Tribolium castaneum: one gene and its partner. The protein of the gene in region 2 purifies or fractionates together with the protein of the main gene of each other region. This does not show direct contact. Links are inferred from orthologs where the notes say so. Each region holds a gene or a part of one and is shown on either strand. Other genes may lie near its edges. The genes, in order: acyl-coenzyme A thioesterase 10, mitochondrial; E3 ubiquitin-protein ligase KCMF1.

Region 1 (3,646 bases), on a different chromosome or scaffold from region 2:
TTACATCGTGAGGGCGTTTCGCGAGTACAGGATGGAAGAGGACTTGTTCGCGAAGTTGGTCTTCTTGATGCGGTCGCGAGAGCTGGTGATTAAGTTCACACGGGAGCCCGAGAACACGTACAGTCCGGAAATCATCTGGGTCAAACAACAAAGAACTGCCAAATAAGTTAAGTTTTTAAGGTTAGCCTAGTTCAGTCGATTCTTCCATTTTTCGAATAAGTCAAGCTTTTAGGTCGTACGGTTTTGTAAATTTGTGCAGGTGTAAATGTTTCTAAGTTATTTAATCGTTGTTATATTTATTGTGATTTATGGTACACATCACTCTAGTACTGATACAACTCTATTTTGTTTGGATGTTTTTATATTTTAAAACTTTTTATAAAACATTGTGCACAAGTGTATTTAATTTTTAATAAACTATTTTAAATTTTTCTGTTTATTTATTATTGGGAGAACTCGGGTGCGATGTCAGGAAAACTTATTTATCCAGCAATATTTATTAAATAAATAAATAAATAAAAATAAAAAAGGAAACAAATCAATTAAGAACGATCAACTTTATAAAGTTACAATTAAAATTAGTAAAACTGTTAATATCACATATGATTGCGCATGGAATTGAACAAGGAAATTTAAAGCGAGTTAATTATGACATATTGCGATTTAAACTAAATACCCAAGAACCCAACCCTTTTAAAGCTTGCTTTTATTGCGTATTCCTTCTTCATTTAACACGTTATCATGGTCATATGGAGTCTTCATAATTTCGAAGAAATGTCTTCTGCCGTCAATATACATCATGGCTTCTTGGTAAGTCCGAGGATACACCTCCCTGACAATCTCAGGCACTTCATAAGTTAAATGTACAACATTCGTGGTGTCAGTATTTCCCGTCTGTGGATCAAAAACTTCCACATAGACCACAATTTGGATAAATTGCATTTGAGTAAAGACCACATGGGCATACATATGAATAAGAGAATTCACAGCTATTGGTTTATTAAACTTAATATCGCTAATACTCTTGACTTTAGGCCTGTATTTACTAAATTTGAACCCAAGAACCCAGCTAAGTTCCGCCGCTTGTCTCATGATAAACCCTCCAAAAACCGTGTTGTGGAGGTTCCGGTTTTCCGGCTGCGAAAAAATCGTATTTGAGATGGTACAGTCTTCCATCCAGACCCCATTCGCGGGAAGTACCATGTTGGTGAAACTTAGATTTTTATTGGACTTGGTTTTCAAATACAAATCGTGGATGATCCTCTGTTCGTCATGATCCGGTATCACTTTCAACACGTGTTGCTTCTCTAAGGCTATTCTATTAGCCTTGCGGGTTTCCCCCCCAGCAAGTATAGCCTTTTCGCGGTCATCCGCCGGCTCTATCGCATTGACCATTGCTGCCTTCGTATTGGTCGGATCCCTGGCTGCTATCAGAAACAAAGCCCTCGTGATTCTGTGCCACGTCCCGTACATTTTCTGCTCCAGCCACACCACCACCTCCATGGAGGAGCGCCCCACCCAACTGACGTGCCCCGAAATCTTAATATCCTCATGAGGTTTAGGGACAAAGTCGCTAAAGTCGATTCTGTCCACCAGTGCGGTGACTAGAGTTTGGGGAGAGGGTGTCCCTTCGGGCAGTTTCGGGTTAAGTATATGTTTCTGCGCCACCATCACGGCAAAAATATCCATGTCTTCGAGTAAGCGCCCGACCCGGACGTACCCCAGAAACGTTGTATACCGGTCTTGGAGCCGCGTACTGGTCGAAAGGGGTATCATGGCCACGAGATAACTATCACGCATAGCTCGTGGCGGTAGTTCGCTTTGGCTTGTAGGGAGGTATTCGGAGAGGTGAGATCGGTCGGCCCGGATGGGGGAAAACCCACTATCGACCCCCATAGCTTTCGCCAAATTTACGGTTACTAGAAATGCAGTTTTGGCGGGTTGTTGGAATATGAGGGAACTTACGTTCTTGTATTGTTAACACCTTGTCGGCTGGCGTGGTGGAACAGCAGCGACTCATGACAGTACTATGAATGAATATTAGAACGGGGGTTCAAAGGTTGTGTCAGACTTACGGTTTGTATTTAAATGAACCCACTAAGCGGTTCGTGATTGATAAACTACGTACTAATCTAGAGGCCATTATTTTAATAATACTGCAAAAAGTGACAAGCAAAATTGTTGCAAAAAAGTTTATTGCGTCATTTTGTAAACGTAACCTCCGATTCGGTATTACGTCAAACTTTTTGTGGTAGTTTTAATGTACAATCTTGGTAGCTCCAACATACCAATCACAGATAACTTTGTTTTTTGTTTTTCATTTACGAATTAAATATTCAAACAATTTTTGTTGCATATTATTCAGATGCCTATCCATGATAATGAGTTAATCCTTTCGGACTGTTGGATCAGTTTTTTAAGCACAAATTAAATCATTCTCAGGTGTGGGATTCACCGGAAATTTGATGTGACCCCCATAGACACCACAAGAATTTTCGAAAGTTCTTTGTGGTCTCATTACGACAAAATGCAAAAAAGTTACCGCAAATATTAAATAACCTAGTTGCCTTTCGAGGCTTGTTTTCTTATTCACGAATACTCAGGGAATACTCTAACAAACTACAGAACTTACCGGTATTTCAGCTCCGTTTTTCTGGCCACTACTTTTCGCACAAGCACAACAAAGTTAGTCTTAACGAAACGTTTGTAAAAATAGTTAAATGTGATTATAATTTCACAGAAAATTTCAAATATTCAACACGAAAACACTGCGGAAAACAATGGGAAAACACTCAACTGAAAAACCGCCATTACTGGTCACGTGACTAATACAGAGGTGGGAAGTGGGAATTTCAAAATAATAAAAAAGCAATTTTGCTTTTTACATTGCTGTCTAAAATTTAATTTCAAATTCGTTTATCAAACGTTTGAAATTAGTTATTTAGGTGAGAAAGATCATTCTGTTACGACAGTGTGGAGCAAAAAATAAATGGAAAAAAGGTTTCAACAAAGTATGATAAGGCACTAAAGTTGAATTTTTTTATGGCAAATATGCAGCCAAATATGGTGTGTATTTGCCAAGTCAGTATCCGCAATAATGTTTTTTCAATTTTTTTCTCAAAACTTAAAATCATATACAACCAACAGCACAAGCTCGCTTACTTTGCGGACTATCTTAGTCCCTTTTACCGACGATTTCAACAGTGGCATTATGAATTATGAAACGTATTATGTTACTGACCATTTATTAATGGTCATTTATTAATCATATGCGTAGGTCTCCAAGAGATTAAGGCTTATTTATATAAAACACTCTGTATTTTTTTCATGAAGTGTCGACAAAACAGTCCCCACGCTTACCGTCCCGTCCTGTCACCCATCTGTCAAGCGCGATAAAATGCAAAATGGCCACGTTTGATTTGAACGAGGGCAATTTTCCTAAACCAACTGATATAACTGACAGAACAGAATGGGTGCCGCTTTCCCTAACCCTGGTCGAGTACCCCAAAGGTATAATTCCGTTCCAACCACCTTCGGACACGTCCTACCAACCCAAAAATCCCCCTTTCAGTTTTGACATTTCACAGTTTACTAACATTTCCAGGTGACTTCATCGGTAAAATCCTCGCTTTGATCAGTCTGGCCC
Region 2 (3,930 bases):
GCGATCTTGCCTACTCAAATCAGTCGTTGACTGCAACGACAGCTCCTCTAACAGCCCGACCAGAAGGAACTGTGATTGAGGAGAAGGCATGGTCGGAGCGTTAACAGACGGCTGCTGAATCAAAACCGGGCTAGGGTTTAGCATTAAAGTCGAAGTTCCAGAGTTCGACGACGCGTGAGATTCGCGCAAAGACGTCTGGCTTTGGGTTTGACGTCGCGGAAAACGCTCCAGCTGCTGACGAGCTGCGTTCACTTGCTGGCGCTCGAGCTGCAGTTGCATTTGCAGCTGTTGCAGCTGCGTCGGAGTGCTGCTATTCGTGTTGCTAGCGGAACGACGAACCCCCGAAAGTTGAGACAACAACTCCGCGATGGGGTCCACCGTTTCCCTGGACGAGGGAGAAAGCGAGGACAAACCGCCAGAACTGAACACACTGTTCACAGAAAATTCTATTATTAAAGACCGACAACGGTTTTTAACAAAATTGTGATATTTGGCTTTTTTATCCGCGTAATTTGATATGCAGTTGTCCCAGCGAGATGGGACATAATTGACCATTCAATCTCAAAATATTTGAATAAACTTACTACTAGTAAGGTCAGTGCAAAAGTTTGATGTTCATACTTTTTAAATTTTATATTTGTTGTTCCTGACTCGCTAAAAATATTTTCCGTAAAATTGGTAAAATAAATTTTGTACGTAAGTTTATTTTTATGTGTGCACTTGTTTTTTTACAAATGAAATTACTTTGTACTATTTTTTTTTCAGCTATGAATTAGGAAACTCAAGAGGCGTCACGAATTCGTAATGAATTTGTAAACAAATCATTAAATAAATCATAATAAATTTGCTTTTTGTATTAGTTTTAAAAACGCGGTAAAATCCTTAAATTTACACTGTTGTGCTGAACAAGCTCATACAATCCTATATTATAGTGTTAGTAGCTAACACTAGCCAAGTTTTCATATTAATCAGAACAAATATATCAAAAGAAATCTTCGATAACGCTTGAAAGATTGTAAATTCTATATATAGCCATTCCAGGAAAAATGCAATCTGACATCGAGATTTTCAAAATAATTTAGTGTGTAGAATTTCTTTCAAAATATAAGAGTTTATATTTAATGTATTTTGCGCCAAAAGTTTTTTTGTTGTGGATTTAAAATGGGAGAGAATAATTTAAATGGAAGTAATCCTAAAATTTACATAGAATTGCCTTGTAGGCGATAATATGAAATACTGTTGAGAGCTTTTTTTGAAGTGTTTTCCTAATTTTTAGTAGCTTAGAAAATGGAAATCTGTAAATGTAAATCTGTAAATCTGGATTGTTCAACAATAAAAATGTGACGTCTTTGTTGTGTTCTACCATTCGAATCTTAAATTTCCTTTTCAGCAAATTTACTAATGTTCGGCTGTATTTCGAAAACTAAGCAAAATTGACCACAGTTTTTAGGTCAAAATCAACAGTTTAAAAGCAAAAAAATATGGTGTGCTGCATTTGAAACATTCGCTGGGACACTGTATAACATAATTCAAAGCCAAAACGTTGTTGAATTTTGGGCCACTTGCCTGAAATGCATATTGGACCGCCTGGGTCTCAGGGCGGCAGCCCCCCGCCCCATATGAGTTGCATTATGGGGAATTCGCCTAACATTGTGTCTAGTCCCCACTGGTTCGTCTAGAAAAGAAATTAAATCCCTAGGGCCGGTGCGATGTTCTAGAGTGAGATGTCCGGCAAAATCATCAGTCATTAAATTAGGATCACCCCCTGGCATGGCAGCACATAATGGACAAACCTTCCAAAGGTCATTAATAAACGAAAAACGAGCAATTTTCCACACTTACAACTTCAAACGAAGTATCAACATGTTCGGACGAAACATGCTCCTGCAAGGTTACATCAGTGAAGCCCATACGAGAGCAGTACGGGCAAGTGTAGGACTGAGGCAGTTCAAGACTGGTCAAGGCCTCACCACCGTAGAAGAAATCTAATAAAAAGCGTTTTTAGACCAACTAAACTACCAAAACTCTCGTGATTGTGTTAATTTGTTCGAATGAAAACACCAAAAATTCGTACCAAAGTCGGCCCTGGTGATGATACACTGCATAGGGTGGTCAGTCGTATGCCTTGTATTGGTGGCCCCCCCTTCATAGCAAGCCGCACACAAGTCATAATCGTAACAAATCAAACATTTGTATCGGCGGCCCCTAAAATTTCCAATCAAACAAGAATCACAGCTTACACCTGTAACCCAATCAATTGATTACATCGGAACTGTAAACATCAATAGCCTTACCTTCATGACGACTCATGGCAGATATTGTGTATTAATTCCACTACGTTTTACCAAAATTTACACATGTAATTAGTGTGAAACCACAAATTATTTTGCAAATTGGAAAATCACACTGATCCGAACACAAGCTTGTAAAACAATGACAATTACTGTTTTACCGGCGACGCCATCTTTAGCGCCGTCCGGGTAACATGTCGGTAAAACCACCAAAAATGGCGCTGGCACCATGAACATTACAGTCGACCAGACAATCGCTGTGCGCATAGAGCTAGCACCATTCCCACCATTCTCGTTTTCTACAGCCAAGTTCACACCAGGAAAATTATCAAAAATAATCGTAAATCATTATAAAAACATCAATAAGTTGTTACGCTGACTTGCATATCACATTTATAGAACATCTCCTGACCATTCTCATGTGTTTCTATTACAAATTAAAACTTAACTGTATTTAATTTCTGCATTTTTTATTCTCATATTCAAGCAATGCAAACTGATTTTTTTTACCCCCTTTATATCCTGCAGTTTTCTTTATTTTTGCAGAAGATTAAGCCCTTCGATAGGGCCTTCGACTGTAAAAAAATCATGTTCGGACAACACCCTTTGGGACTTTAACGAATTTTTTAATTTTTATAAAGTTTCTCTATTATTCTCTATGTAAACTTTTAAAGTTTTTTGCTAAAAATTAAGATAGGCAATATCTATAGGGAAAAATTTTATTTACCAAAAAAATTCATAACTTAAAAACTAAAAGTCGTAGAGCAATGCGGTTTGTTCTATTGAATTCAGCGGCTCATTTTGCATATAAAGCCATTTTTTAACAAGATGTAAAATTTTAAAGTTTTTTGCAAAAAATTAAGATAGGCAATATCTATAGTGGAAAATTTTATTCAACAAAAAAATTCATAACTTATAAACTAAAAGACGTAGAGCAATGCGGTTTGTTCCATTGAATTCAGCGGCTCATTGTGCGTATAAAACCATCTTTTAACAAAATGTAAACTTTTAAAGTTTTTTGCTAAAAATTAAGATTTGCAATATCTATAGTGAAAAATTTTATTCAACAAAAAAATTCATAACTTAAAAACTAAAAGTCGTAGAGCAATACGGTTTGTTCCATTGAATTCAGCGGCTCATTCTGCGTATAAAACCATCTTTTAACAAAATGTAAACTTTTAAAGTTTTTTGCAAAAAATTAAGATAGGCAATATCTATAGTGGAAAATTTTATTCAACAAAAAAATTCATAACTCGAAAACTAAAAGTCGTAGAGCAATGCGGTTTGTTCCATTGAATTCAGCGGCTCATTCTGCGTATAAAACCATCTTTTAACAAAATGTAAACTTTTAAAGTTTTTTGCAAAAAATTAAGATAGGCAATATCTATAGTGGAAAATTTTATTCAACAAAAAAATTCATAACTCGAAAACTAAAAGTCGCAGGGCAATGCGGTTTGTTCCATTGAATTCAACGGCTCAATTTCCGTATAAAACCATCTTTAAACAAAAAGTAAACTTTTAAGGTTTTTTGCTAAAAATTAAGATAGGCAATATCTATAGTGGAAAATTTTATTCAACAAAAAAATTCATAACTTAAAAACTAAAAGTCATAGAGCATTGCGGTTTGTTCCATTGAATT

The links.
Region 1: the proteins of E3 ubiquitin-protein ligase KCMF1 (region 2) and acyl-coenzyme A thioesterase 10, mitochondrial purify together in Homo sapiens (affinity purification with mass spectrometry; 3 studies listed by BioGRID and IntAct, with this or other methods). This does not show direct contact. The link is inferred for Tribolium castaneum from reciprocal best matches to the Homo sapiens genes KCMF1 and ACOT9.

Annotation. Positions count from the first base shown.
Region 1 is NC_087398.1:5,411,748-5,415,393, forward strand, and holds acyl-coenzyme A thioesterase 10, mitochondrial, read right to left. Parts: upstream 2,260-3,646; 5' UTR 2,144-2,259; coding exon 2,076-2,143; intron 2,028-2,075; coding exon 1,966-2,027; intron 1,920-1,965; coding exon 694-1,919; 3' UTR 543-693; downstream 1-542. Other genes in the region: dolichyldiphosphatase 1, read left to right, coding at 3,405-3,510, 3,605-3,646. UniProt on the Homo sapiens protein: Mitochondrial acyl-CoA thioesterase. Catalyzes the hydrolysis of acyl-CoAs into free fatty acids and coenzyme A (CoA), regulating their respective intracellular levels. Regulates both mitochondrial lipid and amino acid metabolism.
Region 2 is NC_087403.1:4,743,218-4,747,147, reverse strand, and holds the start of E3 ubiquitin-protein ligase KCMF1, read right to left. Parts: upstream 2,486-3,930; 5' UTR 2,311-2,485; coding exon 2,295-2,310; intron 2,243-2,294; coding exon 2,075-2,242; intron 1,986-2,074; coding exon 1,843-1,985; intron 1,794-1,842; coding exon 1,567-1,793; intron 431-1,566; coding exon 1-430. UniProt on the Homo sapiens protein: E3 ubiquitin-protein ligase which accepts ubiquitin from an E2 ubiquitin-conjugating enzyme and then transfers it to targeted substrates, promoting their degradation by the proteasome.